Linked DNA regions of Coturnix japonica. The protein of the gene in region 1 purifies or fractionates together with the protein of each later gene. This does not show direct contact. Links are inferred from orthologs where the notes say so. Each region holds a gene or a part of one and is shown in the gene's direction. Other genes may lie near its edges.

Evidence for each region.
Region 2: the proteins of BACH2 (region 1) and MAFK purify together in Homo sapiens (co-immunoprecipitation; 3 studies listed by BioGRID and IntAct, with this or other methods). This does not show direct contact. The link is inferred for Coturnix japonica from reciprocal best matches to the Homo sapiens genes BACH2 and MAFK.

The regions. Positions count from the first base shown.
Region 1 is NC_029518.1:68,534,241-68,538,627, forward strand, and holds the start of BACH2 (transcription regulator protein BACH2), read left to right. Parts: upstream 1-1,497; 5' UTR 1,498-1,970; intron 1,971-4,387. UniProt on the Homo sapiens protein: Transcriptional regulator that acts as a repressor or activator. Binds to Maf recognition elements (MARE). Plays an important role in coordinating transcription activation and repression by MAFK.
Region 2 is NC_029529.1:2,690,820-2,695,064, forward strand, and holds the start of MAFK (transcription factor MafK), read left to right. Parts: upstream 1-1,269; 5' UTR 1,270-1,424; intron 1,425-2,366; exon of another isoform or gene 2,367-2,901; intron 2,902-4,245. Other genes in the region: lysosomal alpha-glucosidase, read right to left, coding at 957-1,105. UniProt on the Homo sapiens protein: Since they lack a putative transactivation domain, the small Mafs behave as transcriptional repressors when they dimerize among themselves.

The DNA.
Region 1 (4,387 bases):
AGCCTTGCTAGTGTTTAAGCACATGACACTACACCGTGGGACTTGCCATGTGTTAAACACTACATATGTCTGCAGAACCAGAACCTACGTGCACTTGTGAGCAAGGCTTTGCACCAGCATCGCTTGCAGAGGGAAACTGAAGTTTATCAGTCAGATTCTCCAGCAGGACATCAATCTGCTGCCACACGCAGCTACAAAACACAGGGGTAACATGCTGCTAAACCAGAATGCTTCTTGCTTTACACGAGCAGACAACCATTCAAAATGCAAACTAGGGGAGAGTGTTGCTTTTGAAAAGTGAGGGCATGTCTGACATCACATGCACAGAGCTGATTTTGTGTCGACATGGTCTCTTTGCACAGTTTTCTGTAATTAAGTTGACTTGGAAAAATGCAGCGGTGAGATCCGAAGTTCAGTTCAACACAAGAACTACTCCTTGCCCCGAGAAGAACATGGAAAGCACAGCGTAGTAAAGGGGGAAAACCGGGATGGATACATGTATCAACGGCTACGAAACAGTAAACAGGCACGCGTTAATTACCAAACGTGCTCGCGTTTAGCTGCGGGTCAGCATCGTTCTTTATCGGCGTTTGCTGACACTACGGCCTCGCTGCCGAGACTCAGCAGCAGGCAGCACCCCGCGTCGGGACGGCCTCACGGGCGTTTGTTTTTGTTTTTAATCTCGGGAGCACTTATCTATTCCTCTATGATGTTTGGCAGGGCTGACTCATGACTGTTGGACGCTTGCGGTTGGCAAGAGCTGGAGGATGAGGTTTCTCAAGGGGCGGAGCGCGTAAAATATCACCAGGATCAACAGCGGGGCTCCGAGACAGCCGGGGCCGGCCGGGTGGGTTCCTCGCCCTCCCTCCAAACCACTCAGCCGGCCCGAACCCCCCGACTCCATCCCCGGTGCCCGCCGGCTCCGGGAGCCGGGCACGAAGCTCTAAACAGCGGACCCCCACGGCCATGGCGGCCGCCCCAACGGCCCCTCGTGGTGGACTACGGCTCCCACAGCCCCTCGCGGCCGTCGGAGTCCGGCTGTAACACCGCATATACACATATACACACACATACACACACAGCCCGGGGGGAGCGAGCCAGCCGAGCGCATGCGCCGCCCCCCTCCTGGGCAGCAAGGGGGAGGCGGGGCGTCCTCGTCGCCGCTATTCGCGGAGCGGCCGTACGCATGTTTCCGTGCGTAGAGAGCGAGGCGGGCGAAGGAGGGCGCGCTGCGCTGTTGGCGTAGCGTTGTTGTGAATGGAGCGGGGCGGGGAGGATGATGTCAGCCTGGCGAATGTCAACAATGTAGCGATTGAGGGGCGGGGGCGGCGCCGGGCCGGGGCGCGCTTGGCGGCGGGGCGCGGGCAGCGGCAGAGCGGGGCAGCAGCGGCCGCGGAGCAGCAGCAGCACCAGCGCCGCCTCCTCCTCCTCCTCCGCCGCCGTTTCCGCCCGCGCCGTGCCGGGCCGGGCCGAGCGGCCCCGGGCTGCCCCCGCCGCCGGCCCCGGTGCCGCTCCGGCAGCGCCGCTCCCCCCTTCCCTTCTCCTCCTCCTCCTCCTCTTCTCTCCGCTGCGGCTTTCTCTCCTCCTCCGGCCCCCGCCAGCCCCCTCCTTTCCTCCTCCTCCCTTCCCCCCTTTTATTTTTTCCCCCTCACGGCTCCGGCTCAGGGAGCAGCTGCTTCAAAGCGAGCGCCATGTGATGAGCCTTCGGGTCGCGGCTTTTTTTTTTTTTTTTTTTTTTTTTTTTTTTTTTAATTAACCTCCCCCCACCCCCCCGGTATTTAACGGGGTGGGCCGCGTTGTAGGTCGGTGACCGCAAGAGAGAGAGAGAGAGAGCGGTTAACAACAATTTCCAAACACAATAACAATAACAACAGGCGGCAGCAGCAGCAGCAGCACTCCTTTCCCCGATCCCCATCGGCCGCAGCTCAGCGACAGCGGCGACCCCCAAAGTTGAGCGGAGGCGCGGCGAGGTGAGTGGGGCGGCGGCGGGCGGGAGCCTTCCTCCTCTCCTCCTCCTCCTCCTCCTTCTCCACCCCTCCTCGGCCTCGAGCAGCTGTTGCGCGGGGCTGCGGTGCGGGAGCGCTGCGAGGGGAACCACGCGTTGCGTAACGGGGGGAGCGCAAGTGGTCCTCTGGGTGTACGTATCGTCTGTCTATACGCATACATACGTGTGTATATATATATATATGCCTATATATACACGCAGTACTTACGTACCCGTATGTGTACACGCATATGTGTGTAGGCATGGGCCCTGTCCCACCGCCGTGCCCACCCCCTTGCTCCCACCCCCGCTCATTGGGGTGCACATTGGGCTCACTCCACTTCCCTCCTTCACCGCTGGCTCAGGGCTACGGGGAGATGCCGAGCACGGCCGCAACGCGTGGCGAGGTGTGAAGTGGCAGCGCTCCTCATGTGGCACGGGCTATTTGTGGGCTATTCTGGGTGTGCTGGGAGCTGGCACCAGCCTGGTGGAGCAGAGCGTGTTCCTCGCTGCTCGGGGTAATAATAATAAGCAGGAGTGGCGGGCAGCCCATTGGAATTGTGCGTTGGGATGGCGGAGTGGTTGTGAAAGTGTAGTTGGCCGTAGCTGAAGGTGTGTCGGTGTTCTCTCAATGTAAACCCATTTCTCTAAGTCACTGCATCTGTCTCTAAAGTTGTGCTTGTTGTAGTTGGGTGTTTAGAGTCTCCAGCTCATTTTGGGTTGGGGACTGTCTGAGGCTGTGCGGTGCCACTGGGGGAGGTTGGCTGTGTTCGGATACATTGACATCTCCAGGTGTGTCAATGCCAAAATGCACTGAGGTGGACAGAATGAAATGACTACACCGCATGTTGGGCTGTTGTCCATGGGGCTGTTGTATTAACTGCTTTAAAGCAGTGTTTTACAAGGCTTTGTGCCTGACAGCCAGCAAGCCATAAAGTTCCCCTTCCAACGCGTGCTTACTGTGCAATTCATGTAGACTTTCCCAATTGGAAAGACAGTGATGGCTGCAATGACATGAGTGATGTGGGCACACGGACAAATCCCCACTGGTGTGTGCCAGACCCTGCACTGGGAACAGAAAGCCGGGGCAGTTGTCTCAGTCTTCCTCACCTGGGGTGCATCTGGGACATCTGCTGGTGTTGGTGTCTCGCAGGATGTGGGTGGGACACCCTCTGCTCCTCCCTGCTGTGCTTTCTGCTGGTTGTTCTGCAGGAGGAGATGGGCAGCTCCTCTTAGCTGTCTACAAGGGAAAGTTGGAGATGCTGGCTCAGAGTGACAGTCCAAATTCCAGTAAACAGGCATGGACTTGATGCTCCTAGCATGAGAAAATCGTGGTAAACCTTAGGCATTGTGGATGGCCTCAGAGATGTGGTGGGATTAACGAGTTTAATCAAATTCCCATACCGCCAGTGATCTTATGTATTGGTCTCCGTCTGTGTGGTTAGTGACAAAGAGCTGGAAATAAAGCTCCCCGCAGACGATGTGTGGTGTGCAGTGTGTGGCAGGAGTATCTTGCCCTTTCTTCTTCTAAAACTTTTTTTGCTTGTGTTTTTGTTCTGAAGTGCGATAGCTGGGCTTTGTTTGTTTGTTTGTGATTGCCTGAGAGTTGCTTCCCCTAAGAAATATTGCCAGAAAAAGGAAAATGAACGATCCCACCTTTTCCAAAGCATTTGGAGGAGAACACAAAGAGGTGTTTTCTCATTGTGTGCTGATGATGTTCTTTGCACATGCACAGATATTTTGTTTTTAAGAGACATCTTTGAATGTGGCAAATAAGTGTCTGGAACTCCAGCTGAAAAAGGAGATGTGTAAGTAATACATGCAGAGTAATGATTTCAGTAGTAATGGCATTTTTGTGCAATAAGCTGTTGGTGCAAGTTGAGTAGCGCTTATTACGTGATTTGTAATCAGTCTTTTGCAATTTTTGTTTAGGTTGTATGAACACGGGTTATATATTCAAATCAAAGCGTGCATGCCTTTTTGCTCAAAGGAGTGCTTCCCTGAATGGTTTCTCAGTTTACAAGCTAAAGGAACGTACCTGCAGCATTTAGCTGATCCATCTGGGGTTTGAAGGCACGGGTGCTTCCTTCCATCTCTCACCTCTGGGTCTGAATTTCCATCTCTGCTGGTTCTGGGTCTGTGTTAGTGTAATTGACTGTATAGTAGTGGTTTCTGGGCTGGAGTATGTGAGAGAAAATACACAAGCCATTCAATTTATGTGCAGAGGAAAATCTCAATTTAAACTGAAATATAGGCTTTCTGTGAGCCCAGGTTACTCCTGCTGCTTCAGGGCTCCTTCTGACTACAAATGCTTGAAGAGAATGGGGAATGGGGCCTTTGTAGTGCCTGTCCTTGTCGTTCTCTGCAGATATTTGAAGAGGTGCCCACACGGTTTTGTTGTAG
Region 2 (4,245 bases), on another chromosome or scaffold:
GTGATTAGCCTAAGCAGAAGCTGGAAGAGATGCCTGTGCTGAGCACTCTATGGGGCCTGACCTGCTCTGAGCACACAGCAGTGGGGCTGACCCACAGCTCCCCCAGAGGCCCCTTTTGTCCCCTTGTTTTTCACCCATTGCACTCTCTGCCACGTGCTCACACTCTCCTGTTAAGCAGTGTGTGTCTGTGCACGCTCCCAGCCAGGTTTGCACTCTCAGGAGATCAGAGCTGCTGGTTGTTTGCTGTCGAAGGCCACTTCAGTCTAAAGGTCAGCAGCAAAAGACAACAGACCTTTGGAGCTGAGCTGCTCTCTTCTGGAATGGAAACAAAAACCCAGATCTGTTGTGAATGGCCAATTTGCTGAATTTCAGCCACCCCCCTTTACCAAGCCACACACAATATGTTCATCCTTGCAAAGCCAGGGGAGAATGTCCCACTTTGGCTCTCAGCAGTGGGTGAGACCACATGTAAGAGCCACCACCTGAGAGAAGTCCTGGATGCAAACAGGGCCCTTGTGGCTGTTCCACCACCTGCAGAGGGTGGGTAGCAGCACTGGGGACACTGTTGGCCATAGGGCTCCTGTCCTTCGTTGGGCTCTGTGAGCTGGAGAGTGAGATGAGGATGCAAAACACACGCAGAGCCCAGCAGGGAGCACAGGGCTGGCTCAGACCTGTCCTTGAACCCTGAGCCCAGCACGGCTCAGCCAGCGGGCCAGATTTAAAGCAGAGTCTGCAAACACAGGAGGGGTGAAGTCAGCAGTACTGCAGCTCCTGCTTCAACCTTAGTCTGAGTGCAGCCCTCAGCTATTGGAGGAGGTTTGGCCCCGAGGCTGCAAAGCACAGACTGCAAAGAGCCGGCGCTGGCTTCGCAATGCAGCCATAAATAGCCCCGCACATAAACGCAACAGGAGTCCGGTTTCGATGGGGGTTGCTGGGTTGGCTCAACCTGCGCTGACCTGGCACTGCAGGAGGGTCGGGCCGTGGTGGGTGTTTCCCTTGGCAGCACTGATGCAACACCCGCTGCCCAGAGCTCAGGTGGCGGGCGCGGGACTTCGGGGCGCGCCGGCGGGAGGTTGTGTGGGCGTGGCCTGGTGACGTCACCCATTTTCCCGCCCCTTCCCCAGCCATGAATGAACCTCGTGGGCGGGGCCGGCGGTGACGCGCGCGTTCGGGGCGCGGCGTGGCGGGGCGTGGCGGCGGTGACGCGCGCGGTGACGCGCCGTGCCGGAAGCGGCGGGGGCGCTGGTTGGTCGGCGGAGCGGCCGGGGGGGAGGGGGCCGCCCCGCGCTTGTTGTTGTCCGCGGGACCTGGCGCTCAGGGAGGCACCGAGCCCCAGCAGCGCCCCCCGCCGCCGCCCCCCGCCCCACGACGCCGCCGCCGCCCCCCCACGACACGGGCGCGCGCGCGCTCCCGCCGACACGCAGGTGAGCACCGGGCGCGGGCACGGCGGGGGGGGGGGGCGGGGGGGTGGGGGGGGGCCGCGCGGTTCTGCCTCCGCCAACACTATAGAGATCGGGGAGGAGGGAGAGGAGGTTCAGGGGGGGGTTGGAGGTGTTGTGAGGATGGGGGAACCGGCGCGGTGCCGTTCGGGTGGGGTCGAACCCGAGCGGAAAGTGCTGAGTCACCACCGCGCCGGCACGTGGGGCCGCCGCCCCGCGCAGCACCGGGCCCGGCGGCACGTGGCGCCGTTCTACACCCCCCACCTTCCCCGAAAGAAAGTTGCCGCGAGTCGGGGCTGCTGCTCCGTGCTGCCTTTGGAGCTCAGAGCGAGGCGTAAAATAGAGCGGGGTCAACCTGTTGTTGGTTGGAAATACCGCGCAGTGCCGCGCATGGAGGCTCAGAGCGCGACCCGGCCCACGGCCACGCGCGGCGCTGCTTCCTGCGGGGAGCGATGGGGGCAGCGCCGTGTCCCGCCGCCTCCTCGTGTTGAGCCGCCGTCGCGCGGGACGGCCGGGGGTTTTGTTATGATGGTGATGAGTGTCGTTATTGCTCGGAAACGGGGCTGCGGGAAAAGCCGTTCCGAGCTCCTCGTGGAGGTGGGGAAGGTCAGAGCCGGAGAGCGGCGTGGGGACAGCGGGGAGAGGAACCGAGAGCGGAGCTGCAGGACGGCCGCCCTCCTCCCGCTGCTCTCCCGCGGGGCTGTCCCAGAGCTGCACCAAAAGCAGGCCACCAGGTCCCGAATTGGGAACGGGCCCGTTGGGCAGCGCTGTCACAGAAAGCTACAGGGCCTTTCTATTGCTGTCACCTGCCTTCTGAGTTCCAACAGCCCCGAGCAGGGCTGGGAACGGGCACAGCCGTCGGGAGGGATGTGCTGGAAGGCAGCTCCGTGCCATCGCTGATACCCCAGCACTCACAGCATTCATTACCTGGCCGTGTCTGCGCTCAGCGCTGCGTGTTGCTGCTTTTCCCCTCTCCTTCCGCGTCCCCCAGCGCAGCGCAGCGCAGCTCCTTCCCCGCGCAGTCACTTCCTCGCTGTGATGGACGCCGCTGCTGCCCAATGGCGCCGCGAAGAGCCGGCAGGCAGCGGAGTTAACTCTGCCGGCACCTAACGGGGAGCTGGCCGCTAATTAATTGTCCCTGCGGTCACCGCGAGGATGGGGCACGGCGGCTGTCCGTAGCTGGAGGCTCAGCTTGGCACGGTGCGTGTCTGTACCTATGGTTGGTGCAGGTTCACACCCGGCCTCGGAGGTGTTTTCTGAGCCAGGCGACCGATCGTCAGCATTTTCCTCTCCCCTCGTTGTGGTTTGTTGTGTTTCATCCCGTTCTCGTGCTCTCTCAGCAATCTGTTGCAGCTCACGGTTCGCTCGGTGCTGTGTGCAATCCGAAAGGGAAAGCTCAGAGCAGCACAATACACCCCGTGTGCGTCCGTGTTGGGAAGCGATTAATGGCGTGGAATGAGCGGGGTGAGAGCGGGCAGCACAGTGAGGCTGTGACTGTGTTTGGGCAGCAGGAGGGGACAGCTGGGAGCTCTGGCGCTGGGGGGCTGTGTGCTGAGCTGGCCGTGCTGTAAACATCCAGCTGTGAAGTGCTCGAGAGGCGAGAGTGCTTTCAGCTCTCAGGAAGTCTCCGGCTCAGCACCCTGTCGAGATGAGCCGGCAGTTTCCACTTGTCTGAGCTATTGTTTCAGGCTATCTTCAAACCCCAGCACTGAGCCTTCCAAGCATGAAGCAAGCACAAAGCCATGCAGCTCCATGGCCATAAACACGAGGGCTGGGGGAGAGGCAGGAGCCGTCCCACTGCTGCTGAGCTCTGGAGCAGTGGGATAGCAGGCGTAGCAAAGCCCTGCTCTGCGGTGCTGCAGGACCTGAATGCCACTGCTGTGCAGCAGCTGAAGGTGTCCGACCTGCTGGCTGGCAATGGCATGGGGACACTGGGGATCCTGACCTGTCCTTGCATTGCTCTGTGTATGGGTGAGCTGGCTGCTGCTCGCAGGCGCAGCTTGCCTGGACTAGTGATGCTCAGATGTGATTGTAGTGTAGCTCTACCCCCTGTACGTGCATGATGGAAAAAGTGCTGCATCCTGTGGTCAATGAGCACCACCTCTGTCTGTCCTGTACCTGTCCCCTTTGGCCACCTGCTCCCCAAGGTCCCATTTGTGATGTGGTGCAATGTGCCCTCCTGGTGCTCTGCTCGCTGACCGCAGGCTCTGCAGCATCTGACGAGGCTGTTTACCCAACCACCAAGGGCTGTCTGATCTCCGTCCAGGCTTCCCCAGAGAGCGCCTCATAGAGCCGTGTTCTGGCAGCTCTCGCCTTTGCTCTGAAGGTTCGTGAAGCTCCTCTCTGCTGCTGGATGCTGGTTCCGATCCATAAGGGAAATGGAAAGCTGGCCAGCTGGGCGAGGGCTGTGCGGAGCTCCTCTAGAACGGTAAACAGTGACTCACCCCTCCTTGTGTCTTCTCTCTGTTCATGTCAAATACGTTGCCTTACATATGCTCCTGCTCTCTGATTCACACCGGGAGCGCAGCCCTCCCCTCTCTCCTTACAAATGAATGACAAGTGTCAGTCTGTCCTATGGAATGTGAATGCTGTCAGAGTAGGGAAAGGGTTCATAGAATCAGAGTTGCTCAGGTTGGAAAAGACCTTAAAGATCATTGAGTCCAACCACAGCCCAACCACACCACCATGTCTCTAATAACCCTCCACTAAATTGTGTCCCTGAGCACCACGTCCAAATGCTTTTTAAACACATCAGGGATGGTGACTCAGCCACCTCCCTGGGCAGCTCATTCCGGTGCTTAACAGC